4 linked regions of the Stegostoma tigrinum genome follow. The protein of the gene in region 1 binds, or shares a complex with, the protein of each later gene. Links are inferred from orthologs where the notes say so. Each region holds a gene or a part of one and is shown on either strand. Other genes may lie near its edges. The genes, in order: mcm2, gins3, protein downstream neighbor of Son and gins2.

Region 1 (7,841 bases):
TGTTATAGGAAAGATATTATTAAATTGGAGAGGGTTCAGAAAAGATTTACCAGGATGTTGCCAGGAATGGAGGGTTTGAGATTACAAAATTGACTGGAAAGGTTGGTACTTTTTTCAATGGATCATAGAAGGTTTATAAAATCATTAGGGGCATTGATAAAGTAAATGTCACAGTTTTTTTCCCTAGGGAGGGGGTGTTCAAAACTAGGGGCAATATTTTTAAGGTGAGAGGAGAAAGATTTAAAAAGGACATGTGGGCAACTTTTCTTTTACACAGACAGTGGTTTGTGTGTATGTGGACTGAACTGTCAGAGGAAGTGGTGAATGTAGGTACAGTTACAATGTTCAGAATACATTTGGATAAGTTCAGGAATAGGAAAGGTTTGGAGAAATATGGGCCAAGCACAGGAGTTGGGATTAGTTTAATTTGGGAATATGGTCATTGTGGGCTAGTTGGATCAAAGGGTCTGCTTCCATGCTGTGTGACTCTATAAACTCTAAATGGACTAAGGAATGGCAGATGGAGTTTAACGCAGATAAATTTGAGGTGTACTCTGGAAAGGGTGCAAGAAAGATTTTAAGGGTATTACTGAGACTGGAGGGTTTGAGTTATATGGAGAGACTGGATAGGCTGGGACTACTTTCCTTTGAGCAGAGAAGGCAGTGGGTTGGCCTTATAGAGGGTTATAAAATCATGAGGGGCATAGATAAGTTGAATAGCCAAGGGTATCTGCGACCAAAACCAGCAGGCATTATTTTGGAGTATATTTGTAGCTCGGGTTGTGGGTGTTTGAGGTTGGTTGGCTCACCGAGCTGGTTTGTTGTTCTGCTGATGTTTCATTACCGTGCTTGGGTAACATCCTCAGTGCAGCCTCTGATGGAGCATCAGTGTGTTTTCCCGCCTGGCTTTTAAACTCTGTGGACCATTGCGATGGATTGCCTCACTTCTGGGTTTCCTCCATAGTGGAATGTATATGGGGTGTTTATTAATAGCCTGCTACGTGGAGTGCTATGCTTCCAGGAATTCTCGTGTTTGTCTCTACCTAGCCTGTCCCAGGATCTTGGTGTTGTCCCAGTTGAAGTCGTGGTTCTCCTTGTCCATGTGGATTGAGACGAATGAGTAACCAAGCATGGTAACGAAACGTCTGTGGAACGACAAACCAGCTCGGCGAGCCAACCAACCTCAATAGCAGGCATAGTTTTACGGTGACAGGGTAAAGATTTAAAATGGGGGGCAACTTTTTCACAGTGGGTGGTGAGTACATGGAACAAGCTGCCAGAGGAAGTGGTAGGGGTGAATACAATTACTATATTTAAAAGACATTTGAATGAGTACATGGATAAGAAAGGTCGAGAAGGATATTGGTCAAATGAAGGCAAATGGGACTAGTTCAATTTAAGAAGTCTGGTTGGCACAGATAAGTTGCACCAAAGGGTCTGTTTCTGTGCTGACTCTCAAGGTTAACAGGCAGGTAAAGTTGGCAGTTAGGAAGTCAAATGCAATGCTTCCATTCATTTCAAGAGGGCTAGAATGCAAGAACAGAAACGTGCTGCTGAGCCAATTTCGAGAGTCTGGTCAGACCACATTTAGAATATTGTCAGCAGTTTTGGGCGATGTATTTTAAGGAAGGATATTATTCACTGATTGTCTTGTATATCGAAATGCAGTGAAATGCTTTGTTTATGAGCGCTAGAGGCAGATGACAGCAAGCAAAGGATGTACAGATCAAAAAGACTTAAAGGCATACAGGTTACATTGCAGGTTACATTATTTAGGGCATCTTCATTATTTGAGGCCAGAGTCCATTCAACAATCTGAGTACGTGACAAAGTTGATTGATGAGGGAAAGGCTGTAGATGTCATATACATGGACTTCAGTAAGGCATTTGATAAGGTTCCCCATGGCAGGCTGATGGAGAAAGTGAAGTCACATGGGGTCCAGGGTGTGCTAGCTAGATGGATAAAAAACTGGCTGGGCAACAGGAGACAGAGGGTAGTAGTACAAGGGAGTTTCTCAAATTGGAGACCTGTAACCAGTGGTGTTTCACAGGGATCTGTGCTGGGACCACTGTTGTTTGTGATATATGTAAATGATCTGGAGGAAGGTGTAGGTGGTCTGATCAGCAAGTTTGCTGATGACACTAAGATTGGTGGAGTAGCTGATAGTGAAGGGGACTGTCAGAAATTACAGCAGAATATAGATAGACTGGAGAGTTGGGCAGATAAATGGCAGATGGAGTTCAATCCGGGCAAATGCGAGGTGATGCATTTTGGAAGATCAAATTCAAGGGCAAACTATACAGTAAATGGAAAAGTCCTAGGGAAAATTGATGAACAGAGGGACCTGGGTGTTCGGGTCCATGGTTCCCTGAAGGTGACAATGCAGGTCAATAGGGTGGTCAAGAAGGCATATGGCATGCTTTCCTTCATTGGGCGGAGTATTGAGTACAAGAGTTGGCAGGTCATGTTGCAGTTGTTTAGGACTTTGGTTCGGCCACATTTGGAGTACTGTGTACAGTTCTGGTCACCACATTACCAAAAGGATGTGGATGCTTTGGAGAGGGTGCAGAGGAGGTTCACCAGGATGTTGCCTGGTATGGAGGGTGCTAGCTATGAAGAGGGGTTGAATAGATTAGGATTATTTTCATTAGAAAGACGGAGATTGAGGGGGGACCTGATTGAGGTCTACAAAATCATGAGGGGTATAGACAGGGTGAATAGCAAAAAGCTTTTTCCCAGGGTGGGGGACTCAGTTACTAGGGGTCATGAGTTCAAAGTGAGAGGAGGAAAGTTTAGGGGAGATATGCGTGGCAAGTTCTTTACACAGAGGGTGGTGGGTGCCTGGAACGCGTTGCCAGCAGAGGTGGTAGACGCAGACACGTTAGCGTCTTTTAAGATATATTTGGACAGGTACATGGATGGGCAGAGAGCAAATGGACAGAGACCGTTAGAAAATAGATGACAGGTTAGACAGAGGATCTTGATCGGCGCAGGCTTGGAGGGCCGATGTTCCTGTGCTGTAGGTTTCTTTGTTTCTTTGTACTGTAGGGGGCTGAGGATGCATCCTTGGTGGGGTGGGGGAGGACTCCAGAGTTGAGGGTTATTGTGGAGGAGGTGCAGTTACCTATCCTCACTGATTGTGACCTATGGGTCAGAAAGCTGAGGATCCAGTCGCAGAGTGCTGAGCTGATGCCAAGATCACGCAGTTTTGAGATCAGTCTGGAGAGGACAATGGTGTTGAAGGCGGACATTTAGTCAACGAGCACAAGTCTGATGTAGGTTTCTTTATTGTCCAGGAGCTCCAGGGATGAGTGCAGGGCTAGGGATACGGCATCTTCTGTGGACCTGTTATGTTGGTAGGCAAATTGTAGGGATTTGAGGCAAGTTTGGAGACTGGAGTTGATGTGAGCCATGACCAGCCTCTCAAAGTACTTCATGATTATTGAAGACAGCAAATGGGTGATAGTCACTGCACACACACTGCATGTGTTCTCTTGGATACAGGGATGAGAGTGGTCTTCTTGAAGCAGGTGGGGACTTTGGCTTGTAGGAGGCAGAGGGAGGGAGTCCAGAGGAGGTTTACAAAAATGATCCTGGGATGAGGAGTTGTCAAGAGTTTAGAAGGGTTGGGTGGAATGGGAACCTCATCTAAACTTCCAGAATCCAGTGGTCTGGATAGAGTGGACATACTTCCACTAATAGGACAGGCTAAAATGCAAGTATAACAGCAGAGTGAAAGAAACAACCCTTTAGAACAGAGATGGAGGAATTTCTTCAGCCAGAGGGTGGTAAATCTGTGGAACTCATTGCTCCACAGAGCTGTGTAGGTCAAGTTGTTCAGTATATTTAAGATAGAGCTAGATCAGTTCTTGGTTAGTAAGGCGATCAAGAGTGAGAAGGCAGGAAAATGGGGTTGAGAATCATATCGGCCATGATCAAATGGTGGAACAGAGTCGATGGGCCTCCTATATCCTGTGGTCTTCTCTTAAGGACATTAGTGAGCCAGTTGGGTTCTCTTGGCAATGGTTATCCTCAGATTCTTAATCCCAAATTCTTTAAAATTGAACTCAAATTGCACTATCATGCATGACAAGATTTGGACCTACGTGCTGAATACGCTACCTGGGTCTCTGGTGTATTAGCCCAACAATGCGGCCCTCATCCAATAGTATTATCCCATTCCTGTGCTTTTTTAAAAATGGTCTCCTTTACAATTTGGAGACGGTCCCTAAATGTAGGGTTGATTGACGTGTGGGCCAGCCAATCCGCGAGAGGTCAGGTCCTAACGGACACCACCTACAGCCAATCACAAGCACGAGGGGCGGAATCTGAACCGCCAATCCATTCGGGAACTCAGCGTCTCTTTCCAATGTGAGCATCAGTAGCGCCCCGTCGAGAAATAATTGATGAACACCATTCCCTACAGGCTCCAGGCCGCAGACCGCGATGTTTAAATAGCAATACGTACGCCTCGTCTTCAATCGATCCATGACCCGTTACAGCCGGCGATGTCTGATGCTGTGCGCCGATGACGCAGTGCTCATTGACATGCATGGGGCCGCGGTGACGTAGAACACACGACTGGGTTTTGGCGCGAATCGGAGTCAGGTGGGTGGTTTTGGCGCGAAAAGGGGTTTAGTCCGTTTGTCGGTGAGGAGCCGGAGAGAAGGAGGCAATGGCGGTGAGTGGAAGAGAATGAGGGAGGTGTTTCTGGAGTGGGGTTAGGGGAAAGCTGCAGCTAAGAGCCCGTCAGATAAAACACTGAGGGGAAAAGTGGTTTGTGATGTTCCTCACATCCCGACCTCCGGCGTGATGATAAGTGGTAGGAGGCTCAGAGAGATCCTGAAGGGGTTGTTGTTTGTTTATATCGCACATGGAATGAGGGCGTCACTGCATTTATTGCCCATCCCCAACTGCCCAGAGGGTCAGTTGAGAACCATCCGCTTTGCTCTGGGTCTGGAGTCACATGTAGGCCAGAGATGGTTTGAGGTCCGCGAATCCCCGAAGGCAGCAGGACCGGTCAATAGGGTAGTTCAGAAGGCCCTCGGGCAACTTAGCCAAGACGTTGAATATGAGAGTGGGGAGGTTATCGTCGGTGTATAGTACTTTGGTTAGGCCACAGCCGGAGCCCTGTGTGTAGTTGCGGTCACCACATTACAGGAAGATGTGATTGCACCGGAGTGGGTGAAGAAGAAATTCACCAGGATGTTGCCTGGGATGGATCATAGAGTTGTACAACGTGGAAACAGACCCTTTAGTCCAACTCTTCTGCTCCGACCAGATATCCCAATCTGACGTAGCCCCATTTGGCCCTTGTCCCTGTAAACCCTTCCTATTCATGTACCCATCCAGATGCATTTTAAATGTTGTAATTGTACCAGCCTCCACCGCTTCCCCTGGCAGCTCATTCTGTACACACACAATCCTAAGCATGAAAAAGTTGCTCCTTAGTTCCCTTTAAATCTTTCCCCCTCTCACCTGGACCCATGCCCTCTACATTTGCAGCCCCCTAACCTGGGGAGAAAAAGGGAGGCTGGATAGCGTCAGCTTGTTTCCTTTAGAGCAGAGAAGGTGGTGGGGTTTGGAGGGTGTGCGGAACCTGTACTGTAAACAAGTGCTGGCGATCGCAGTATTCACGGAGAGACAGCAAGCTAACGTTTCAAGTCGAGATGACTCTGATGAAGTGTCAGATTCCTTCATCTGCTGTAATTTGCACCGGGGCGGGTGCGGGGGGGAATGTGATTGAGTGGTGTAAGATTGAGGGATACAAACAGGGTAGGTAGATATCAGCTGTTTCCCTGAGTTGAAGGGTCAACAGCAAAGGGACATAATTTTAATTCGTAAGGTAGAAGGTTTACAGGGATTCGAGGAAAGCAAGCTCAGAGGCTTTTTTTTGGGGCGGGGGAAGGTGTCTGCAATGCACTGCCAGGGAGGGTAGTTGACATGGGAAATATCTCAACCTTTAGAATGTATTTGGGTGAGCATTTGAAATTCCTTAACATTCAAAGTTGTCGGTCTAATGCTGAAAATGAGACCAGTGTTTTTTTTCGAGCGGTTTTTGTTGATGTAGTCATGATGGGTCAAGGACATGCTTCTGTACTGTATGATACTACATTAGAAGGGTATGTGATCCCGCGGTCACCTACTCATTCAAATTGTGACCTAGACCCCATTCTGTTTCATTGCTGCAGTGCTGTGAGGTGCAAAGTTAGCCCCACCAACCCCTTTCCTGATTGAAATGCCCATTCGTTTTGTCACTGAACCTGGGTCAGAATGTTCCAGATAATTTAAATGCTAGCTATAAATATCGTAACACATCTTTTTAAAAACTGGCAGAACTGCAGTTGTTGGAAATTAAAAACAAAAACGTCACTGGCCACAAAATGTTAATTCTGCTTTCTCTCCGCAGATGTTGCCAGACCTGTTGAGTTTTTCCTGCAATTTCTAATTTTATTATCTTTCCCAAATTCCCTGAACCTAATCTCACCCAACTTCTTGCAACAATGCTACCCACTGTTCCCAATTCCTTCGCCTCCACCGCATCTGGTCCCACGGTGAGGCATTCCACTCCCAGACATCCCAGATGTCCTTGTTTGTCAAGGACCACAAATCCCACCCCCCATGGTCAAAAATGCCCCCTACTGCATCTTTTACATTCCTGCACCTCAGCCCTCACACCCCCTTCCCGCAATGACAACAAAGACAGAATCCCCCTTACTCTGATATATCACCCCCATCAACCTCTGAAGTCAAAGCATCATTCTCTGCTAATTCTGCCACCTGCAATCTGGCCCCATACCAAGACTATATTTCCCTCCTCACCCTTATCTGCCTTCCAGGACTGCTCTCTCTGTGACTCCCTTGTCTGCTGTATGCTCCCCACTAGCCCTGTTAGGTTTGTTCCATTAACTTCTCAGCCCCACCACCCCCAACACCTTTCCCTGCAACCGCAGAAGGTGCTACACCTGCCCCCACACCCCCACACCCTACCACATTAGCGGATGAGCAGGTGAACATCTGTTTGATGTGGTATATTGTATCCGCTGTTCCTGACGTGGCTACCCCTACATCAGGGAAACCAAGCAGAAGCTTGGAGACTGCTTTGTGGAGCACCTGTACTCGGTTTGTGACAAACAGCAACACCTCCGAGTCGCGATCCACTTCAACTCCCCCTCCCACTCCTTGGACGACATGTCCATCCTGGGCCTCCTCCAGTGCCACACGGATGCCACCAAAATCTGGACGAACAGCATCTCATATTACGCCTGGGAACCCTACAACCGATTCGTCTCAATGTGGACTTTACAAGCTTCAAAATCTCCCCACCCCCGACCTAATCCCAAGACCAGCACCCCCCTCTCGTTTGCATCTCCTTGACCTGTCCATCTTTTCTCCACCTATCTGCTGTACTCTCTATTTTCTATCATTGCCTCCCCGTCTCTCTTTATTTCTTCCCCTTCCCCACCATTTTTGAATCAAGGTACAGACCTGAAACGTCAGCTTTTCTGCTCCTCTGATACTGCCTGACCTGCTGTGTTCATCCAGCTCCACATCTTCTTGTTATCCCCCTAAGTTAACTGAGTTCCAGTGGTCTTGCTCATTGTTAAGCTGTTCAACATTCAGGATGACAATAACGTGTGAGTGGAACTGTGCCAAACCTGAAGCAGATCATTTATTCACCTTGGGCCTTTTTTTTCTCATTCAGATGGATGTGGTTTTCAGAGGCTGGCCATCCCTGGTTGCCCCTTGTGAAGGTGGTGGTGGGGGCTGCCTTTTTGAACTGCTGCACGTCCATGTGGTGCAGGGACATACATAGAGGTGTTCGGGAGGGAATTCCAGG
Region 2 (7,638 bases), on another chromosome or scaffold:
ATCACCGTGGGGGGAAAGTTGCGGTCCTTAAAGAACTTGGACATCTGGGATGTGCGGGAGTGGAATGTCTTATCGTGGGAGCAGATGCGGCGGAGGCGGAGGAATTGGGAATAGGGGATGGAATTTTTGCAGGAGGGTGGGTGGGAGGAGGTGTATTCTAGGTAGCTGTGGGAGTCGGTGGGCTTGAAATGGACATCAGTTACAAGCTGGTTGCCTGAGATGGAGACTGAGAGGTCCAGGAAGGTGAGGGATGTGCTGGAGATGGCCCAGGTGAACTGAAGGTTGGGGTGGAAGGTGTTGGTGAAGTGGATGAACTGTTCGAGCTCCTCTGGGGAGCAAGAGGCAGCGCCGATACAGTCATCAATGTACCGGAGGAAGAGGTGGGGTTTGGGGCCTGTGTAGGTGCGGAAGAGGGACTGTTCCACGTAACCTACAAAGAGGCAGGCATAGCTGGGGCCCATGCGGGTGCCCATGGCCACCCCCTTAGTCTGTAGGAAGTGGGAGGAGTCAAAAGAGAAGTTGTTGAGTGTGAGGACGAGTTCAGCTAGGCGGATGAGTGTGTCGGTGGAGGGGGCCTGGTCGGGCCTGCGGGACAGGAAGAAGCGGAGGGCCTTGAGGCCATCTCCATGCGGAATGCAGGTGTACAGGGACTGGACGTCCATGGTGAATATGAGGTGTTGGGGGCCAGGGAATTGGAAGTCCTGGAGGAGGTGGAGGGCGTGGGTGGTGTCACGGACATAGGTGGGGAGTTCCTGGACCAAAGGGGAGAAAATGGAGTCCAGATAGGTGGAGATGAGTTCGGTGGGGCAGGAGCAGGCTGAAACGATGGGTCGACCAGGGCAGGCAGGTTTGTGGATTTTGGGAAGGAGATAGAAACGGGCCGTGCGGGGTTGGGGAACAATGAGGTTGGAGGCTGTGGGTGGGAGGTCCCCTGAGGTGATGAGGTCATGAATGGTGTTGGAGACGATGGTTTGGTGCTCGGGTGTGGGGTCATGATCGAGGAGGCGGTAGGAGGTGGTGTCGGAGAGTTGGCGTCTGGCCTCGGCGATGTAGAGGTCAGTGCGCCATACTACCACTGCGCCACCCTTGTCTGCGGGTTTGATGGTGAGGTTGGGGTTGGAGCGGAGGGAGCGGAGAGCTGCCCGTTCTGCGGGGGAGAGGTTGGAGTGGGTGAGAGGGGTGGAGAGGTTGAGGCGGTTGATGTCTCGACGGCAGTTGGAGATGAAGAGGTCGAGGGAGGGTAGGAGGCCTGGGGGTGGTGTCCAGGAGGAGGACTTGTGTTGGAAGCGGGTGAAGGGGTCAGTGGAAGGAGGGTTGGGTTCCCGGTTGAAGAAGTAGGCATGCAGGCGAAGACGGCGGAAAAACTGCTCTATGTCCGACCGTGACTGGTATTCGTTGATGTGTGGTTGTAGGGGGACAAAGGTGAGCCCCTTGCTCAGGACTGACCGTTCGTCCTCAGTCAGTGGGGTGGAACACCTCCGCTCAGTTCGCAACAAACAACTGCACCTCCCAGTCGCAAACCATTTCCACTCCCCCTCCCATTCTCTTGATGACATGTCCATCATGGGCCTCCTGCACTGCCACAATGATGCCACCCGAAGGTTGCAGGAACAGCAACTCATATTCCGCCTGGGAACCCTGCAGCCATATGGTATCAATGTGGACTTCACCAGTTTCAAAATCTCCCCTTCCCCTACTGCATCCCTAAACCAGCCCAGTGCATCCCCTCCCCCCACTGCACCACACAACCAGCCCAGCTCTTCCCCCCCACCCACTGCATCCCAAAACCAGTCCAACCTGTCTCTGCCTCCCTAACCGGTTCTTCCTCTCACCCATCCCTTCCTCCCACCCCAAGCCGCACCCCCAGCTACCTACTAACCTCATCCCACCTCCTTGACCTGTCCGTCTTCTCTGGACTGACCTATCCCCTCCCTACCTCCCCACCTACACCCTCTCCACCTATCTTCTTTACTCTCCATCTTCGGTCCGCCTCCCCCTCTCTCCCTATTTATTCCAGTTCCCTCCCCCCATCCCCCTCTCTGATGAAGGGTCTAGGCCCGAAACGTCAGCTTTTGTGCTCCTGAGATGCTGCTTGGCCTGCTGTGTTCACCTCTTAACTACTAGATTCAATGAGAGCTCAGGTCAGAGTTTCTTTTCTAAAACAGGAATATAAATGCAAGTTTTAGTTTTTTTTGTTGTTGATGATCAAAAGGTTTGGAAATCTTCAGCATTTATAGACATTGTAGACACTAAACCTGTATTACTTTACCATTAATGGGGCATGCCACAGTTGGACAGTGCAGTAACACTTTTTTAAAAATTCCTGAGCATATATATCAGGCATAATATGGAAAAATAATATTTTCATTTGAATAACACTGGGAAATAGCTCTACAAATGTAGGTAAAAGACTGTAGCAAAACAAACTCCTAAATATTTCACTTGTGATTTTTGCTGCAGTTGCTATAACTGAGCAGTTGTACATTAATAGTGAAATCATAGAATGCCAACAGTGTGGAAACAGGCCATTCAGTCCAACAAGCCCACACCGACCCTCTGAAGAGCATTCCACCCAGACCCATTCCCCACGCTTTCCCTGTAACCCTGCATTTCCCATGGCTAATCCACCCAATCTACACACACCAAAGACACTATGGGGCAATTTAGCATGGCAAATCCCCCCAACCTGCACATTTTTGGACTGTGGTAGCAAACTGGGAAACCCACCGGAAACCCACACAGACACAGGGAGAAGCCCAAGGGTGGAATCGAACCCAGGTCCCTGGTGCTGAAGGACAGCAGTGCTAACCAATGAGCCACCATGCCAATATTCAGGACACATACAGTGCAGGGGGCCATTTTCCATATGCTAAATCTTTGTTATATTTCATCTCACATCAGTCCTTTTTGTTCATTACCCTGTAAACTTCACATTCTCAAGTACTTGTCAAGGGTCCTTTAAAAATCACCTTCCACCACCTCTTTAATAAGTATTCCAGATCCTGATCATGCGAATAGTGTACAATTTAAAAATAATATAAAACATGGAGCCATTGTGAAGTGTGAGGAGAACTTCAATAGAATAGACTTCAAGAGGGCAGGCAGCACAATGGACAAATGGAAGATTTAGTTTAATGCAGAGAAGTGTTGAATATATTTCGATAGGAAGAGCAAGGAGAGACAATGTAAAAAAATACAATTCTAAAGGAGGTATAGCATATAGAGATCCAGAAACAGGTATCTATGCATCACCGAACATGGCAAGGACAGTTGAGCAGCCAGTTAATACAACAGTATCCTGGATTCCTAAACAAAAATGTATTGAGTACAAAAAGCAAGGAAGTTATAAAAAACCTTTATAAAACATTAGATTACCTTCAGTGTGGAAACAGGCCCTTCAACCTAACAAGTCCACACCACCCCTTAAAGCATCCCACCCAAACCCATCCCCATTTCCCCTATAACCCACATACCCCTGAACTTACTCTGATGAAGGGTCTAGGCCCGAAACGTCAGCTTTTGTGCTCCTGAGATGCTGCTTGGCCTGCTGTGTTCATCCAGCCTCACATTTTATTACCCCTGAACTTAGATGCTATTCTGCCCAAATCTAACAATCATACTTTAAGAAGGATGCAAAAGCATCATGAGTGGGTGCAGAAGGGATTAACAAAAATGATTCTGGCCATGAGGAACTTCAGTTCTGTGGATTTTGTCCTCTTCAGTGAAGATTAGGAGACTTTAAAGACAAGTGGTCAAAATCATGAAGGATCTGAACAGGTTAGCAGAATGAAACTCTTCTCACTGACACAAGAAGAATCAGCGAAAACTAAATTTAGTGCGATTGGCAAAAGTGGAAAGGGTGACTTGAAAATGTTTGCATGTAGGGAAATGGGGATCTGGAATACATAACATGACAATATTGTGGAAGTCAGATTCTATTTAAAGCCTCAAAAAGAGAACTGTATAATTATATAGAACAAATAAAAACATGCAAGGTTACAGGGAAGGGCGAGATTGTGGAACTTGGTGAAGTACGTTTGCTGAGGCCACAGATCGAATAGCCTCCTTCGGCTGTAACTATCTCATGGATTCTCCAGAAATAATGGTAACTGCAGATGCTGGAGAATCCAAGATAACGAAGTGTGAAGCTGGATGAACACAGCGGGCCAAGCAGCATCTCAGGAGCACAAAAGCTGACGTTTCGGGCCTAGACCCTTCATCAGCGCTCTGATGCTGCTTGGCCCGCTGTGTTCATCCAGCTTCACACTTTGTTGTCATGGATTCTCCAACTGGGCTGAGTGAACGCGATGACTATGCGCAAGCGCAACAGAGAATTGCCGAGAGTCACCTTGTCCTCAAACACTCACCACATTTTCCGGCGCATCTCCTCCACCAGGTCCTCGTAGAACTTGGACCTCTCGATGTTTCGCGACTTAATATGTATGTTAGAAAATCGAGGATTACTCTTCCTTCTCAACTTTGGTGAGGTGTCACGGACCTCCGAGTGGCTCGCCATTCTTGCGTCTTTCAACTCCGACCCTCACCCGCCCGTCCGCTGTGGTGTCCCCCCTCGTACCGCCAAGCGCTAGCCCAACCTTCCGCGCGCGCCCTTTCCCCCCTCAACTCTTCAAAATCTAACCGACCACCTGCCGCGCGCTGGAACTGGAAGGCACGTGGGTTCGACGCCATCGCCACAATCCCTGCCTCTCCGTTTCATCAGAAGTATATTTGTGTCTGTGTTGAAGATGGTGACGGTATATTAAATAACGGTCACCGAGATTTGTTTTCGCGGACGCTGTGAGTTTATCACGCCTTTCGCCAGTACGTGTAATAAAAGAGTACTATTTTAATAAGGCCGGGCAAATCGATTAACGCCCACCCATTACGTAGTTGTGCGAGGTCTCTACGTTCGGTCGGCTTCTGCTTAGCGGGCGGGGCGGGAGATTTGAACTGGAGGCCCATTTCCGGCGGCACGAGCCTGCCGCCCCTCCTCCTATGTAACGAACTAGTTTAGCGGCCTCCTTAATGCCGCGCGCCGATTCGTACTTGCCGGTGCCTCCGGGAGGCTTGGAGGAAAACTTCTTCAGCCTGGATGACATCCTGATGACCCAGGAGAAGATTCCATGTCGGACTGTGATGTTGCTGCCGCGCCTGGGCTTTCTAGACAAGAGCAACGAGGCCGATCTCATCCCCGAGGTAAGCGAGTGGGGTGACCGCTGTCAGGCGCGTGCCGAGCGGCAAGGAGAAGAGATCGCTTCAGTGTTTCTGGGCACTTTCAGTAGATTTGTCCACAAAACTGAAGAATAGTGGCGGTTTGACAGAAATGTTTTAACTGCAGCACCACAAGAGTGGAGCAGAAACGGCTCTGAACGTTCAGTGGCCTCTGACCCTGATTTTGTATAATCCGGGAGTTAAAATGTTTACAGTCACGACGTTTGACAAATACTAAAAATGATAAGAAATCCTTTCTGCCTAAAGGCCAGTCAATGTAGATTGACGATTGATTTGTACGTTTCGTAATAGGCGTTTTCAATTCCCGGCTGATCAGAGTTCCATCAATCCAGAGCCACTGATCTTACCTTGTTCAATCCAATAGTACATGGGGCATGAGACCAGAGTACCGCCAACAATGCTGTACTCTAGTCAGGCTGGGAAAGGGGAGGCATTGAGATATCAAGAATGAAAGCTGAAGATCCGTGTCTGTCAGATACATTGTCACATATCCTGTAAACTGTGCTGGGAAAAATTTGGGCATAAACCAAATATTGGACAGAATTGAACTTTGTAAAGAACGAATGGATGAGCAGCATTTGGACGCAGACGAATGAATTGTGGAAGATTTTCTCTCAGTAATAGTGGTATTTTCTCTGTGACTCGACAATGTCTAGTGTAAGAGAACAAGGTGCAGAGCTGGATGAACACAGCAGGCCAAGCAGCATCAGCGGAGCAGGAAAGCTGACGTTTCGGGCCTGTACCTTAAGGGCTTCTGCTCGTCTGATGCTGTTTGACCTGCTGCGTTCATCCACCTTGTTATCTCAGATTCTGCAGTTCCTGCTATCTCTGAAACTATGTCCACTGTAATGTCGCTATGCATATCCAAGAACCGACTAATTTGGAATCCGAGTAAAGAAAGGACAACGAGGATTCACTTGCAAAAGACGCTTAATTTGCTTTCAAACAGTATTTTTCAAGATAAATTCGCGAGCGTTGGCAAGTCTTTTTTTGTACAGTTGTCCACACATTTTTCGTGGCCTTTTACTACGGGAACTGTGGTAATTGAAAATCTAAAATCACACGGTGCCCTCTAAAGGGTTTCTGTCTCTTAGACTGATTAAAAGATATCTGACAGTGTAGAGTATAAACCAGCCAAGTCTGACAGAATTCGACGGAAACTCCTATTCAGAAAATGAAATTGCCAAAAACACTTGCATTGATATAGTATACTTAATAATCTCTGGCCATCTGAAAGCGTTAAGCAGCTATTGAAGTTGGTCACTATGTAAGAAACGTGACAGGCAATTAGTACACAGCAAGCTCCCACAAAAATTTGTGATAACTAGGTAAACTGATTTTTTTTGTTGTCGGTTATGGGATGAATGTTTGCCATGACAGCACGGATAATTTTTCTGCTATAATAAAGCAAAGAATTTTGGATGCTGGAAATATGAAATAACGTCAAATTACTGGAGAAACTCGGCATACATGATAGCATCTGTAGAGAGAAAGCCAAAATAACATTTCAAGTCCAGTGATGCTCCTTCAGAAGAAGGATCAATGGACTTGAAAAATCAACTCTCTTTTCTCTCTTTGCATGCTGCCAGACCTGCTGAGTTTCTCCAACAATTTCTATTTTTGTTTCATAATTTCCCTGCTGCTTGAAATAGAGTCAAGGAAGCTTTTGCATCCACGTGAGAGGCCTAGCAAGGTCTCTCCACTAATAGTACTGCACTGGAGTGTTCGCCTTTATCTTTGTGCTTAAACCCTGGAGCGGGACTTGATTGCTGCAACCTTCTGACTGTTTCATGGCTCGTTATAAGTTTAATTCTTTTTCAGTGCAAAGCATGCCACACATAATGAATACAGTTCAGAAGGAAAGGAACATGGGATAATCAGAGAGCAATACAATAAGGATTTTTAGAAATGTCTTCAACAGTAATTAAAATCTGAAGGAACAAAACTCCTCACTTTTAGAAATGAATTTTTGTGTCAGAAGTTGTTTTATAGTAATCAAGATTTGTCTCTTTCTGTTTATAAAGTGTAAATAACTTGAGCATTCTGTGGTTTCTTTGCAAAGGTTATGTATGCAGTGCTTTTTTTTTGCTAGACTTTGACATCTATTAGTGCCATATTTATATTTGGGGTCAAATCTGCACTATTGCATGGTAGTAAGGTAAGTGACAATAGTTAGTATAAAAATGCATGACAAAATGATAAACAACTATTGCAGAAATCTTGATGCCGATGTTGTTTAGTACATATGACATCCTAAATAAATTTCAGTGTTGGCAAAGTCTATGTACTCAATTGTTTGTAAGAACCTAATGTGACTTCAGCCCTATCTTTAAATTCTCTACTTCTAAAAATCTGAGGCACCTGCATTCCTCCATTCTAGCTTCTTGTGTAGCTCTGATTTTTTTT
Region 3 (8,259 bases), on another chromosome or scaffold:
CCATGTACAAAGACCTGGGAAATGGGGGAAAGGGCGTACCGAACGCCACCCTTGCCCTGACGGCTACCTTTGTGTGCGGCTGCATCAAGCTGTGCGTAGATCCTCAGTACGCAAACACCAAGTGTCACTACTTACTGAGGTTCTACCTGTCCCCAGTGTTGCGAAGGATGGGCTGGCCTCGTTGCCGCGGAACGCTCCGAGTAGATGGACCGTTCCATACCACCTGTCCTTCGTGGAGAAATTTTTGAAAGGAAACACCTTTGACCACAAGGCCGTCAGGCAGTGGTCAGCACGTAGTATCCTTGGGACCCTTCGGGAAAAGGAGAGGGTGGATCCCGTCATGTGCTTCCCCACGCAGACTGCCAAAGTCGTTTGGCGGAATACCTCATCGCCAGAACTTTCAAACAAGCACAAGGACATTGCTTGGCTGACGGTGAGAGGGGTTCTGCCAGTGAGATCCTTTATGCATGCCCGGAATCTCTGCGCCACCGCACGCTGCCCTCGAGGTGGCTGCGGGGGGGATGAGACTGTCGATCACCTCCTTCTGGAGTGTGCCTATGCGCAGGAGGTCTGGAGGGGGATGCAGTGGTATCTGTCGAGGTTCGTCCCGAACAGCTCCGTGTCGCAGGACTCCGTGCTCTATGGGCTGTTTCCGGGGACGCACACCGAGACCAACATCAATTGCACCTGGAGGACCATCAATGCGGTGAAAGACGCTCTTTGGTCTGCCCGCAACTTGCTGGTCTGCCAGCTGAAAGAACTGACCCCGACTGAGTGTTGCAGACTGGCGCACTCCAAGGTCCAGGACTACGTGCTGAGGGACACGCTAAAGCTTGGGGCAGCCGCCGCCAAGGCGCGGTGGGGAAAGACCACCGTATGAAATCCCTCGTCCAGAATGGAAAAAAGGGCCCTATCTGGTAACTGGGCCCAGCTGGCGCTTTCCCCAACTGGTCAGGGGGGCAACGGGAACTGTGCGGGGTGACGACTGCCGGGGTGTTTTCTTTGCTTTGTTTTTTTTCCTTCTTTGTTTTTTTCCTTCAGTTGGTGTATGTATCCCCTGGGTAACCCGGAGCGGCTTGCATGACTGGGTAGGTGTGTAAATATGTTTTATTTTTTGTACACCTTACGAATAATGTATATTTTTTCAAATAAAAAAAAGTGACGAAACGTCTGAAAACTAACCTTCCAGCTCAGCGAGCAAACTCACATCCAGAACCTCAACCTGAGCTACAAATCTTCTCTCAACCTTGAATAGTATTTGGGGCTCATATATAAGCCATAATGGAGATATCTTGGGCATGGAGTTTGAATGAGGACTGTTGAAGTAATTAAATTATTGTCAGCCAAATAGTAGGGGCATAAACAAGCCAGTATTGGAGGTCCAAAGTACGTGACTGTATTCTACAATCACAGAATCTCTACAGTTTGGAAGCAGGCCATTTAGCCCATCGAGTACCCACGGACCCTCCGATGGGCATCCCACTCAGACCCACACATTACCCCATCTCTGTAACCCTGCACGTCCTACAGCTAATCCACCGAGCTTGCTCATCGGCAATTTGGCATGACCAATCACCTAACCTGCACATCTGGAATGAGCCTTCACAAAAGAAGTCTGGAGGTTTTTGTCAATCTTCATCCCGGGTAGCTCCGTAACACGGGATTCTGTGCTCTACAATCTGTCCCCGGTACGCGCACTAAGACAAACTTCAGTTGTGTCGGGAGGATTTGGTGAAAGATGCTATTTAGCCTGCCCAAGCCTTGTTGGTCTTTCAGAACAAGTTGACCCCAACCAAGAGTTGCAGACTGGCACATTTCAATGGGGTCCAGGACTACATGTTCAGTGGCGCACTAAAGCTTGAGGCCAAAGCACAGCGGGGAAAGGCCAGTTTGAAGTCTTCCTGCTAAAGGTAAATGGGGGTCTGTTCAGTTATGGAACCCTCCTAATGTGTCAAATATATGTGAATATTAATACTGTATGTGTCGTCACTGTATTTGTACAAAGATTTTTTATGAATACTGTATATTTTTGAAATGTAAAAAATATATCTGGAGGCAGAACATAGTGGCCGTCACTACAAAGAAATTGCTTGGGAAACTGAAAGTTCGAAAGAGGGATAAATCACCTGAACCATATGCATTACACCCCAAAGGTTTCTGAAAGAGATAGCTGAGGAGATTGTGGAGGCATTGTGCAAGTATTATTTCAGGAATCACTGGAGACAGGAAGAGTCCCACTGTTTAAGAGAGGGAGGTAGAAGAAAGGACACTATATGCTATTTAGTTATTGGTCAGATTTTAGAATGCATTATTAAGAATAAGGTTGAGGAGTACTTGGAAGCTCGCAGTAAAATAGGGCTGAGTCAGCATGGCTTCAAGGAGGTGTCATGCCTGACAAACCTGTTAGGATTCTTTGGGGAGGGACCAAGCAAGTAAGACAAAGGAGAGCTGGTGGATCTATTTGAATTTTCAGAAAGCCTTTGGCAAGATGCCCACTGGAATCTGCTAAATAACAGCCCACAAAGTTAGGGGTGAGGTACTGGCATGGACAGAGGATTGGCTGACTGGCAGAAGGCAGAATAAGGTGGTCTCTTTCAAGATGGTGGCCAGTGACAAGTGGAGTTCTATAGGAATCTGTATATATTCACATTATACATTAACAATCTGGACAAAGGAACTCCAGATGTTGTTGATAAGTTTGTAGATGAGACAAAGATAACTGGTGAGATAGGTAATGTTGGGAGGCTGCAGAAGGTCTTCAACAGCTCAGAAGGTACATTCCATCTGTCACTCCTTTGACCAATGTGGGAAAGTGTGAGGTCATGCACTTTGGTACGAAGAATGCAGGCACAGTATATTTTCTAAATAGAGAAAGACTTTGAAAATCTGAAGCACAAATGGACTTGGAGGCCACAGAGTCAAACAGCACAGAAACAGACCCTTCGGTCCAACTCACCTGCACCAACCAGATATCCCAATCCCACCTAGTCCCATTTGCCAGCATTTGGCCCATATTCCTGTAAACCCTTCCTATTCATGAGCCCACCCAGATGTTTTTTAAATGTTGTAATTGTATCACACCACACTCTCTGCAGCCTGGGGCCCTGTATCTAAGGAAGGATGTGCTGGCGTTTACATGTTTACAAGAATGATTTCTGGGATGATGAGCTCATCATATTAGAGGCAGTTGAGGGGTCCCGGTCTGCATTAGAGGAGTTTAGAAGGATGACAGGAATCTTCCTGCTCTGAGAGTTTCAGGATAGTGGGCCTGTAGAAGAAACTTCCATGGCACGGCATCAGACTTCAGAACCCTTTAGAACAGAGATGGGAATTTCTTCAGTCAGAGAGTGGTGACTCTGTGGAACTTATTGACTGACTCAGAAGGCTGTGGAGGCCAAGTCATTGGGTTTTGATTAGTATGGGGATTAAGGATTAAGGGGAGAAGGCAAGAGAATGGGATTGAGATGTATATCAGCCCTGACCAAATGTCAGAGGAGATTTAATGGGCTGAATAGCCTAGTTCTGTTCCTACACTTCTTATTTCATGTCTAATTTGAACAGTCTTTGAAAAAACCTTGGTGATTTGGTAGCATGGGATATGAATATCAGCTCTTGGTTGATCAACACTGTATGCCCCCATTTTGTCCTGTATCATTCAATGAGCGGGCAGGAGATGATAATAGTGGCAAGTCAGCTTTACTCTTCTTACTTAACCACTTTCTATTTCTGAACCAATTAGTCCTCCAAGCTATCACTCACATATTTCCAATCACCTTTATTATTCAGATTAACTTAAAAGTACATCCCAGGATAAAACAGTTGCCCTGATTCTCAAGATTGATGAAACCATTGCTCTCCTAGCACAACATGCTGTGAATGTACAAGGTACAAACACTAAGTCTGCAGTGACACCAAACTGGTGTGGTAAAAAGTGAGGAAGAAAGCCTTTGAATAGAGAATGATAGAGCCAACCTGGTCTGGCTGAACTATGGTAAATGGGTCTGAAGTGTGACAATGCATTTTTAAGAGCACAAGCATGGCAAAGAAATATGTTGAACGGTGAGCCCCTAGGGTGTTCACAGAAGCCTTGGTGTGCATGTACATAGATCCTCAAACGCAGCAGAACAAGGTGAGGTGGCAAAGAAAGAATACAGGATGTAAACAAAATTGCTGGAGAAACTCAACAGGCGCGGCCGCATCTATAGAGAGAATGAAGTTAATGTTTAGAGTCCAGTAACCCTTCAGAAGTGCAGTGCAACCAGGCCTGAGTTTCCCCAGCAGTCTTTTTGCTTCAAATGTTCAGCATTCATAGTTCTTTGTTTTTACTTAAAGGAATGTGGGCTCCTTGCCTTTATTAGTCAAGGCAATGTAGACAAGGGTACGAGGGGGCTCCACGGGTCTTGAGGGAGCTGTTTTTAACGTTAGTCAGGACACAGCGCTGTGTACAGTTGCGAGCAACCCACTGCTGGAGGGATGTGAATGCACTGAAGACAACGGAGAACAGATTTACCAATATATTGCCGGGCCTGGAGCGCTCCAGCTATGAAGATAGAGACATCGGGGTTGGATGCTTTAGTGGGACACCAGGAGCTAAAGGGTATTTTTATTCCATACTATAAATAACTGCGAGAACACTCACAAAAACGCTGCGCAGCAGCTGAACGTTTCTGGAACACACTCCGACATGGGCTGCAATACGCCTGCGCGGAAATTTCACCCACCCCCATTTGGGCGGGGCCAGTAGTACGCATGCGCTCTCGCTCGGCGGGAAACCTCCAACTGTTCGTTCGCGCGAAATTTTAAAAATATTTTTCCTCCGGCCGCAGGGACAGTGATATTTCACTGATTTTGTTTTTATTTTTGAAAAGAGGAGGATGAAAACAAGGAAAGATGCTTCATTATTGCTTTTGAATATAAATATTTAAGGGGAAGGTGAAACATCTGGTTGTCCAACAATATATCGATTAATTCCTGGATTTCGCCTGATTTTTTGACCGGGTTTTAAAATGTCGGTGGCCGTACAGCTGGCCGGTTATTCGCCCAGTTTCAAGAAGCCGTCTGAAACGCTGAGGCTGAGGAAGAAGCGCGCTCGCAGCTCTCCGCGGCTCGGCCTTCCCTCGGACTCTCCGACCCCGACCGGCAAAGAGCAACCGAGACCCTGCGGCAAGCGGCAGAGGAGGGCAAGGAACCCGTTCGTCAACATCGGCAACACCGTGACCCGTCCGGGGACCGGGACCAGCTGGCCTGAGGAGTCCGACAACCCGCTACACCGCTCACTCTCCGCCCAGGAGTGGAAAGTCCCGGTCTCCGACGGCAGAACTGAATCGGCAAGTAAACGGGATGCATAGGTTTGAGATGTTGTCATCCGATTTAGAGAATGTGATTAAAGGCAGGGTTATTGTTTTAATAATCAGCGTAATGTTTAGCATGTTCCGGATCTGCAGTAGCTCAGTACTGCTGTCCTTTTAGAAGCAAAGTAATTAACTTGTTGACGCCGCTGTACATAGTTATTCCTAGACGCTGGAGGATCTGCCCTCATGGTCCACTTGCGCCATTCATACGCACCCACTTCTTTAAAAGTTACTTCCAGTTCACTGTGAGGGGTTTGAATTTATTTCTACTCTGTAGAATGACTTTTTTTTGAAAAGTTCGACACTAGGGCTTGACCGCTTGCGTTTTGGAGAACTGCTGGTTTGAAATTGTGTCGAGCCCGCAGGAGGGCAGTAGCTCAGTAAAGTAACTGGTCCCGCTTATCAATGTTCACACGAGAAAGAAATAGCCTTATCAGCATTACAACTGTTATAGGCAACGGGATGAAGATTGGCAACATTAGTGGAAAGAAGAACGAGTTAACGCGGAAACTCACTGAGCTTTCCTTTTTCTTTATTCGAGTGTCAACTACAGTCGAATAAGGTTTTCGACTTAACTGCAGGAGTTGTTGGCCAGGAGTCTAGGAAAAGACGCTGTTAGCAGTGGTCGTATCTTGGCTGATGATGTGTTTGGAGTACATGTTCCTAAATGACAAACAGGTTTCTACCTCCCGGATAGAATGGTTTCCTAGATCGTGCCCTGTTCTACGTATTGCCATTTTATCTACTCTGACCAGGAAGAGGGGCAATCAAGATGTGCCTGTATCGAAATCAACGTATTGTTAATTTCTGCACTGACTACTATCAACATTTCAAAGCCAAACACCAAGGGCATGAAGTTTCGGAAGAGTTTGGATTTCTCAAAGCTGGAACAAGCGCTCGAGGAAGAATCACATTTGCCCTTGTGCTCAACATGTGCACTCCGTTGCATTGAGGATGAGTGGGTGACTCAACAGAGGTCCTTGTCGCTACTTCTGCCACGCTTTGATTTTTAAAAACAAATAAGCAAATCCAGAATCTACTAAAGACAACGTTACCTCCTGCGTGACAAGTCATCGCTATCCAAAAAGGGCTACTAAAAGGCTTGGAAAGCTGCATGATACTTTGAATCAGCAATCAGATGATTTTCAGTCTGATGATAAAGGCTGGAAGAAATTCTACAAAGCTCTGAATTCTGTCCACTCGATGCTTCACCAAGGTTCTGAAGGATTGTCATTGCTCACTAAAACAGCCCATGTTCCCGAGAGATGAACGCGTTATGTAAAACAATTCTCCAATTGACATTCAATGAAGAAGCAGTCAACAGGTTTTCCCTGGAAGCCATCGGTGTGTCGATGCTCCCAAACTACTTAGTGACACTCAAACTGCTGTCCAGACCAAAGCTGATGCAATCCTTATTGACTCAATGTCTGATTAAGATGTTTGCTGAACTCATTCCACTTATGTGGACAAAATGGACTATCTTGCAAGCATACAAAGATGCCTTTTTCACCTGAACAAGAGAAAAGAAATGCACAAATCTTAGGGCAATCATAGCATGGTGTTTACAATGAAACCAGGCAGCTGCATAAGAAATGCCAAGAACAGAAGATTGACTTCTTTTGCACATATACTGATCTGACCCAGAACTCTAATGTTGTCAGCCAGGAAGATCTTTGGGACCTAATGGAGAAATTCAACTGCCTTAAGAAATTGCTTACAAATTTTTGGTAGTTCGAAGAACAGCATGTTCTTCTATGGATGATGATGACTCTTGTGATCAATTTCTAGTTACTAATGGAGTTAAGCAGGCTGTAGTGTTAGCACTAATTCTTGATTTTTCTCTGCCATGCTCTCTAGTCTGTGACAGATCAACTGAAGAGTGACATCTGGGTATGTAGAACATATCTGGAGAACCTTATCTAATCAAGAAACACCACTAACAACAAATACAATTTGATTATGTAAACTGTTCCTTTTTAGTTGTTAAATAGTAATCCCTGTTGAAGAGGTTGAACAAATATCTGACCTGAAAATATTGATCAGTATTCTGCTCACTTCATGATGGTCGGTTACCATTATAATACAGAATGATTTCTTGTCAGTTGCCTTTTTAGAGTGTTTGTTGCCACTGACAATGCTGCATTTTGGCTGTACCCATTTTGTATGCTGTCAAAGCCTTAACAGATAGGAATACCTTTCAGCTAAAGTTCAGGGTTTGCATGAAGAAGCAAAGTTTTTTTTTGTTTACTGACCTCTGTTCTGAGCATGCATTCTGGAGGGTGTCCAGTAAACTTTTGATTTACGTTGGCCATGTAATTATTCAGGGAAAGGATTTTTTTTTAAACTACCGATCTGCTAGATCCTGCACTCCACTCAGTTCGAACTAAATTTGAAGTGCATAGTCTGGTACCAAAATGTTGGATGATAGAACCAACAATTGGCTAGCAAAAGCAAGTTTGATTAGATTCGCTCCAGTGTGGAAACAGGCCCTTCAGCCCAACAAGTCCACACCACCCCTTGGAGCATCCCACCCAGACCCATCCCCCTATAACTCTCACACCCCTGAACACTACGGGCAATTTAGCATGGCCAATCCACCTAGCCTGCGCTTCTTTGGACTGTGGGAGGAAACCGGAGCACCCGGAGGGAACCCACGCAGACACGGGGAGAATGTGCAAACTCCGCACAGACTGTTACCCGAGGATGGAATTGAACCCAGATCCCTGGCACTGTGAGGCTGTAATGCTAACCACTGAGCCACCTTGCCAAACTTTCCTACTGGCTTTGGAGAAAGCTTGTCTCAAAGCAAGTATCTAGCTATGAGTGGATCTTGCATCATTTTTCTCTACACCAGTAGGAAAGAAATAACTTTGCCTCCCCTCGAGGCAACTTGATACATTCACCCTTT
Region 4 (7,577 bases), on another chromosome or scaffold:
GTGGGGGGAGGGGACGAACTGGGCTGGTTTAGGGATGCAGTAGGGGAAGGGGAGATTTTGAAACTGGTGAAGTCCACATTGATACCATATGGCTGCAGGGTTCCCAGGCGGAATATGAGTTGCTGTTCCTGCAACCTTCGGGTGGCATCATTGTGGCAGTGCAGGAGGCCCATGATGGACATGTCATCTAGAGAATGGGAGGGGGAGTGGAAATGGTTTGCGACTGGGAGGTGCAGTTGTTTGTTGCGAACTGAGCGGAGGTGTTCTGCAAAGCGGTCCCCAAGCCTCTGCTTGGTTTCCCCAATGTAGAGGAAGCCGCACCGGGTACAGTGGATGCAGTATACCACATTGGCAGATGTGCAGGTGAACCTCTGCTTAATGTGGAATGTCATGTTGGGGCCTGGGATAGGGGTGAGGGAGGAGGTGTGGGGACAAGTGTAGCATTTCCTGCGGTTGCAGGGGAAGGTGCCGGGTGTGGTGGGGTTGGAGGGCAGTGTGGAGCGAACAAGGGAGTCACGGAGAGAGTGGTCTCTCCGGAAAGCAGACAGGGGAGGGGATGGAAAAATGTCTTGGGTGGTGGGGTCGGATTGTAAATGGCGTAAGTGTCGGAGGATGATGCGTTGTATCCGGAGGTTGGTAGGGTGGTGTGTGAGAACGAGGGGGATCCTCTTAGGGCGGTTGTGGCGGGGGCGGGGTGTGAGGGATGTGTTGCGGGAAATATGGGAGACGCGGTCAAGGGCGTTCTCGATCACTGTGGGGGGAAAGTTGCGGTCCTTAAAGAACTTGGACATCTGGGATGTGCGGGAGTGGAATGTCTTATCGTGGGAGCAGATGCGGCGGAGGGTGGAGGAATTGGGAATAGGGGATGAAATTTTTGCATCTCAACAAAGATAGGGACCACTGGTTCTCACTTTCCGATTCACCGGTATCCGCATCCATAAGATCATAAGCTGCCATTTCTGCCACGTCTAGTTGAATGTCACCACTCAATACATATTCCCTCCCCTCTTTTGTCAGCTTTCTGCAGGGACCGTCCCAGCTGGGACATCCTGGCCCACTCCTCCTCCACTCCCACCATGTCCTCACATGCCCACGGCACCTTCCGCTAAAACTGCCAAAGGTGTAACACCTGCCCATTTACCTCCTCACTATCCAAGAGTCCACACACAGATGAAGCAGTATTTTACCTGTATTTCGACAATCTAGTCTACTGCATTCTCTGCTCACAATGTGATCACCCACACACTGGGGAGACAAAACACAGACTGAGCAACTGTTTTGCTCAACACCTACTTTCTTTCAATAAAAATGGCCTCAAGCTTCCAGTTGGCCGCCACTTTGACATACCACTGTGTTCCCTGGCCAATATCTTTGTCTCAGGCTTGCTGCATTGCTTCAGCAAGGCTCACCGCAAGCTGGAAAAACAGCATTTCATTGGCTGCTCAAGCAGCGCCCCCCCCCCCGGAGCCTTGAGGACTCGATATCGAATAAAGCCTGAACATCTTCTTCAATATCCTTTATCCACCCCTACAACCCAGGTCTGTCATGATAAGGGCTGCTTTCAGCACTGCCAACTCAATTTTACTCACTTATGGACCCCTTCATCAGCTTTTGATCGAGTTGTACAGTACAGAAACAGGCCCTTCAGTCCGACTTGGCCAACCGACCAGACATCCCTGTCTGACCTTGTCCCATTTGCCAGCATTTGGCCCATATCACTCGAAGCCCTTTCTATGCATGTACCCACCCGGTAAATATTTTAAATGTTGTATTTGTACACACCTCCACTACTTTCTTTGGCAGCTCATTCCATACATGCACCACCCTTTGTGTGAAAAAGTTACCCTCCAGGTTGTTTTTTAAATCCGCCCCTCTCACCTTAAACCTTTTCCCTCTAGTTTTGACTCCCCTACCCAGGGAGAAAAACCTTGATTATTCATCCTATTCATGCCCCTCATGATTTTACAAGTCTGTATAAGGTCACCTCTCAGCCTCTGATGCTCCAGAGAAAACAGCCCCAGCCTATTCAACCCGTCCCTATAGCTCAAACCCTCCAACTCAGCAACATCTTTGTAAATCTTTTCTCAAGTTTAGCAACATCCTTCCTAAAGAAGGGCAACCAGAATATACATTTTCTCCTTGCCTGGCTTACTATCATCAATCGCTTTTTCTCCTTAACTATCTGTCTCTCTCTCTCTCTCTCTCTCTCGAGTCTACCTCCATCAATGATTTTGAAGAAAACATGAACTGCAGATGCTATCTTCTTACTCCTTTAGCTTCCTCTCCCCGCCCATCTCTTCAGGTTATAAACAACTTTTCCCAACATCCATTGTTTCTATTCTGTTTTTGTCTCCACTGATGCTGTCAGACCTGCTGGGTTTCTCCATCAATTTCTGTTTTTACTTTAGACAACGTAAACATTAAGCTTGTTGGCAAAGGGGGAAGGCCTTGCAAGCAAGGGGCACGGCTTGCAACGGGGGACTGTCAAGGGGCGGAGTCTGTGCCTTGATTGGCGTAGTCTGTTACTAAGGAGGCATGGTCTTTATTCAAATAGGCCGAGCCTGAAGTGTATGGACAGGGAATGTCCTTCAAGGACCGCACCTTCCCCCCCCACAGTGGTCAAGAGTGCCCTTGACTGTGCTTCCCGCATTTCCCGGACCTCATCCCTCGCAATAACCTCCATAAGAGAATCCCCCAGTCCTCACGTACCAGCCCACCAACCTCCAGACACAATGCATCATCCTCCGACACTTCCGCCATCTACAATCCGACCCCACCACCTAAGACATTTTTCCTACCCCACCCTTGTCTGCCTTCCGCGACTCCCTTGTCCGCTCCACGCTCCCCTCCAATCCCACCACACCCGGCACTTTCCCCTGCAACCGCAGGAAGTGCTACACCTGCCCCCACATCTTCTCCCTCACCTCCATCCCAGGCCCCAACATGACTTTCCACATTAAGCAGATGTTCACCTGCACATCCGCCAATGTGGTATACTGTAACCACTGTAGCCGGTGTGGCTTCCTCTACATTGGGGAAAACAAGCGGAGGCTTGGGGACCGCTTTGCAGAACACCTCCGCTCGGTTCGCCATAAACAACTTCACCTCCCAGTCGAGAACCATTTCCACTCCCCCTCCCATTCTTTAGATGACATGTCCATCATGGGCCTCCTGCAGTGCCACAATGATGCCACCCGAAGGTTGCAGGAACAGCGACTCATATTCCGCTTGGGAACCCTGCAGCCCAATGGTATCAATGTGGACTTCACCAGTTTCAAAATCTCCCCTTCCCCTACTGCATCACAAAACCAGCCTAGTTCTTCCCCTCCACCCACTGCATCCCAAAACCAGCCCAGTTCTTCCCCTCCACCCACTGCATCCCAAAACCAGCCCAGCCTGTCTCTGCCTCCCTAACCTGTTCTTCTTCTCACCCATCCCTTCCTCCCACCTCAAGACGCACCTCCATTTCCTACCAACGAACCTCATCCCGCCTCCCTGACCTCTCCCCTCCCCACCTAAACTCTCCTCTCCACCTATCTTCTCCTGTGTCCATCTTCGGTCCGCCTCCCCCTCTCTCCCTATTTATTTCAGAATCCTCTCCCCATCCCCCTCTCTGATGAAGGATCTAGGCCCGAAACGTCAGCTTTTGTGCTCCTAAGACGCTGCTTGGCCTGCTGTGTTCATCCAGCCTCACACTTTGTTATCTCGGATTCTCCAACATCTGCAGTTCCCAACATCTGTGGGATAGGGAATGTAGTGCAGTCAGTGGGCGGGACGTGGCCGGGAACGGTGGGGATCGTAGTCAGGGGCGGGCTCCGTCGTCAAGGGGCGGATCCCTACTCGGGGCGGGGTGACCGTTGTTAGAGGCGGGGTCCGTTGTCAAGGGGCTGGGTCTGTTGTTACGGGGGCTGGGTCAGTTGTCGCGGGGGCGGGGTCTGTTGTCAAGGGGGCCGGGCCAGTTGTCAAAGGGCCGGCTGAGTGACATCACCCCTATTTCCGGTGGTGTTTGCGCGGGAAGCTGTCTCAGGCTTCAGGCGGGTGATTTAAACCCGGGAGCGAGCGGTTAAATGCGGCAATGGACCCTTCAGAAGTGGAGTTTCTCGCAGAGAAGCAGATTGTGACTATTATTCCCAACTTCAGCTTGGATAAAATCTATTTAATAACTGTGAGTGTGTTTTGTCAAGTTGCCCCCTCTTGTGGCTCATGGGCTATGATTTATATTTTAAAGCATTTTACACATGGAGCAAGTTTAAACTAAAAGGCCAGAGATTTATAATCAATGATAATAAATTATGTGTAACAAGTGCTGTAGAGTTGGAGGAAATATTTTCCTACAGCCTGTTGTTATTGGGATCAACAAAAATGTAAAATGTTTAGAGCAAGAGATCTCTGATTGTCTTCAGATTAATTTGGATCATTCCAAATCACACTGACTGACTGACTGACTGACTTTTTTCAAAAAAGGTTTGTGACTTGAAATGTAAACAAGGAAGCTCCACGTCTTGAAACATTTTAATCCTTATACTTGCTCCTAATAATAGACAATAATTAGGCAAGTGCAAATTGACAAGTTTGAAATCCAAAATTAAACAAAGGGCTGCTGATGCTGAAGATCTGAAACAAAAAACAGAAATTGCTGGAGAAGCAGAGCAGGCTCCAAACATAGCCTGGTATGCCATAGTGCTTCGCTTGGAGAAGAATTTGTTAAGTGTGCAGAAGAAAATTTACCTCTTCAGAATATGGATGTACTTACTAGAGAAATAGCAAAAATTAGTCCTTCTCTTGGGAAATAAGGCAGGTGACAGTGGGAGCTACTTTGGGGCCAGTGATCATAATTCTATTAGTCTATAAGGTTTTGGAGTAGATTTGTAGTTCGGGTTGTGGATGTTGTGGCTGGCTCGCTGAGCTGGTTCTTTGTTTTTCTGCAGATGTTTCATTACCCCGCTGGGTAACTTCATCAGTGTCTCTGATGAAGTACCGTTGTGTTTTCCCACCTGGTTTTTAAACTGGAGTCCGTTGAGCTGGATTACCTCATTTCTGGTTTTCCTTTGCAATGGCGTGTATATGGGGTCAAGTTCTCTGTGTTTGTTGATGGCTTTCTTCTTGGAGTATCAGGCTTCTAGGAATTGGAAAAGGATAGAACTGATCTAAAAGTTGAAGGTCTAAATTGGAGTAAGGCCACTTTTGATGGTATAAGGCAAGAACTTTCAAAAGTTAATTTGGATGTGGATATTTGCAGATAAAGGGATGGCTGGAAAGTGGAAAGCCTTCAAAAATGAGATAACGATAGTCTAGCAAAAGTATGTTCCACTCAGGGTGAAGGTTGGTGGGTGTAGGGAATGCTGGATGACTAGAGAAATTTAAGTTCTGGTCAAGGAAAAGAACGAAGCATATGTCAAGCGTAGACCGCAGGGATCAAATGAATCCCTGGATAAATACAAGAGCAGTAGGAGTAAACTTAAGAGGGAAATCAGGGCAAAAAGGAGAAATAAGATAGCTTTGGCAAGTAGGGCTTAGGATTACCTAAAGGGGTTCTACAAATACATGAAGGACAAAAGAGTAACTAGGGAGAGAATGGGGCCCCTTAAAGTTCAGCAAGGCCACCTATGTTTGGAACTGCAGGAGATGGGTGAGATACTAAATGAGTACTTTGCATCAGTGTTTGGTGTGGAGGAGGATATGGAAGCTAGACAACTTGGGGAGATAAATAGCAATATCTTGAAGTGTCCATATTACAGAGGAGGAGGTGCTAGATGTCTTAAAATGCATAAAGGTGGATAAATCCCTAGAACCTGATCAGGTGTGCCCAAAACTTTGTGGGAAGCTTGGGAAGCCATTTGCTGAGATATTTGTATCTCGGATAGCCACGGGTGAGGTCCCTGAAGACTGGAGGTTGCTACCATGCTGCCGTTATTTAAGAAAGGTGGTGAGGAAAAGCCAGGGAATTATAGACCACTGAGCCTGACATCAGTGGTGGGCAAGTTTTTGGAGGGAATTCTGAGGGAGAGGGATTTACATGTATTTGGAAAGGCAAATACTAATTAGGGATAGTCAACATAGCTTTGTGCATGGGAAATCATGCCTCACTAACTTGATTGAGTTTTTTGAAGACGTGATGAAGAGGTTTGACAAAGGCAGTGTGATGCGTAGTGTCTGAATGGACTTTTTAAGCCATTCGACAAGGCTCTGACTGGTAGACTGGTTAACAAGGTTGGAACACATAAATACAGGAAGAAGTAAACATTTGAATACAAAATTGGCTTGAAGGTAGGAGACAAAAGGGTGTTGGTGGAAAATGCTTTTCAGACTGCGGGCCTGTGACCAGCAGTGTACTGCAAGGATTGGTGCTGTGTCCACTGCTTTCTGTCATTTATAAAAATTACTTGGATGTGAACATAGGAGGTATGGTTAGTGATTTTGCAGATGACATCAAAATTGGTTGTGTAATGAACAGCAAAGTGGGTTATCTGAGAGTAACGGAACCTTGATCCGATAGGCCAATGAGCCAAGGAGTGGTAGATAGAGTTTAATTTAGATAAATATGAGATGCTACATTTTGGTAGAGCAAATCAAGGCAGGACTTGTACAGTAAATGGCAAGGCCCTGGGGACTGTTGCCAACAAAGAGACCTTGGGATGCAGCTTCATAATTCCTTGAAAGTGGAGTCACAGGTAGACAGGGTAGTGAAGAAAGTGTTTGGTACACTTACCTTCATTGGTCAGAGCATTGAGTATTGGAGTTGGGAGGTCATATTCTGCCTCCACAGTACATTGGTTAGGCCACTTTTGAAATACTGTGTTCCATCCTGGTCTCCCTGCTATAGTCAAGATACTGTGAAACTTGAAAGGGTTCCAAAAAGATTTAAAAGAATGTTGCCAGGATTGGGGAGTTTGAACTGCTGGGAGGGGCTGTTTTCCCTGGAGCATCAGACGCTGAGGGGTGACTTCATAGAGGTTTATAAAATCATGAGGAGTTTGGTAAGGTGACTAGTCAAGGTCTTTTCCCCAGAGTAGGGGAATCCAAAACTAGAGGGCATAGGGTCAAGGTGAGAAGTGAAATATTTGAAAGGGCCCGAAGGGGAAACTTTTTAATGCAGATGGTGGTGCATGCATGGAATGAACTGTCAAAGGATGTGGTGGAGGCTGGTACAATTGCAGCATTTAAAAGGCACCTGGATGGCTACAAGACTAGGAAGAGTTTATAGAACGTAGAACATTACAGCACAGTACAGGCCCTTCGGCCCTCGATGTTGTGCTGACCTGTCATACCAATCTGAAGCCCATCTAACCTACACTATTCCATATTCCATGTACGTCCATATGCTTGTCCAATGACGACTTAATGGTGCCAAATGCTAGCAAATGGGACTAGATTAATTTAGAATATCTGATTGGCATGAATCAGTTGGACCAAAGGGTCTGTTTCTGTCATGTACATCTTTACAACTGAGGTCTGTTGAAAGTGTGTGGAGGGGGGGTAGAGAGAGAGAGAGAGAGAGAAAATCAGACTTAATGTTTCAAGTCTGGTGAACCTTCAAAACTGCTAGCAGCTAGCAAAAGATGGCATATAAGCTGAAA

What was found.
Region 2: mcm2 (region 1) and gins3 share a complex: the UniProt entries of both Homo sapiens proteins name them as parts of the CMG helicase complex. The link is inferred for Stegostoma tigrinum from reciprocal best matches to the Homo sapiens genes MCM2 and GINS3.
Region 3: mcm2 (region 1) and protein downstream neighbor of Son share a complex: the UniProt entries of both Homo sapiens proteins name them as parts of the replisome complex. The link is inferred for Stegostoma tigrinum from reciprocal best matches to the Homo sapiens genes MCM2 and DONSON.
Region 4: mcm2 (region 1) and gins2 share a complex: the UniProt entries of both Homo sapiens proteins name them as parts of the CMG helicase complex. The link is inferred for Stegostoma tigrinum from reciprocal best matches to the Homo sapiens genes MCM2 and GINS2.

The regions. Positions count from the first base shown.
Region 1 is NC_081364.1:5,791,322-5,799,162, reverse strand, and holds the start of mcm2 (DNA replication licensing factor MCM2), read left to right. Parts: upstream 1-4,591; 5' UTR 4,592-4,676; coding exon 4,677-4,682; intron 4,683-7,841. UniProt on the Homo sapiens protein: Acts as a component of the MCM2-7 complex (MCM complex) which is the replicative helicase essential for 'once per cell cycle' DNA replication initiation and elongation in eukaryotic cells.
Region 2 is NC_081369.1:10,630,992-10,638,629, reverse strand, and holds the start of gins3 (DNA replication complex GINS protein PSF3), read left to right. Parts: upstream 1-4,348; 5' UTR 4,349-4,367; coding exon of another isoform or gene 4,368-4,516; 5' UTR 4,517-5,025; coding exon 5,026-5,196; exon of another isoform or gene 5,197-5,584; intron 5,585-7,638. Other genes in the region: diacylglycerol O-acyltransferase 1-like, read right to left, coding at 4,368-4,516. UniProt on the Homo sapiens protein: Required for correct functioning of the GINS complex, a complex that plays an essential role in the initiation of DNA replication, and progression of DNA replication forks.
Region 3 is NC_081365.1:23,194,055-23,202,313, forward strand, and holds the start of protein downstream neighbor of Son, read left to right. Parts: upstream 1-4,766; 5' UTR 4,767-5,006; coding exon 5,007-5,327; intron 5,328-8,259. UniProt on the Homo sapiens protein: Replisome component that maintains genome stability by protecting stalled or damaged replication forks.
Region 4 is NC_081369.1:52,205,974-52,213,550, forward strand, and holds the start of gins2 (DNA replication complex GINS protein PSF2), read left to right. Parts: upstream 1-3,993; 5' UTR 3,994-4,075; coding exon 4,076-4,165; intron 4,166-7,577. UniProt on the Homo sapiens protein: Required for correct functioning of the GINS complex, a complex that plays an essential role in the initiation of DNA replication, and progression of DNA replication forks.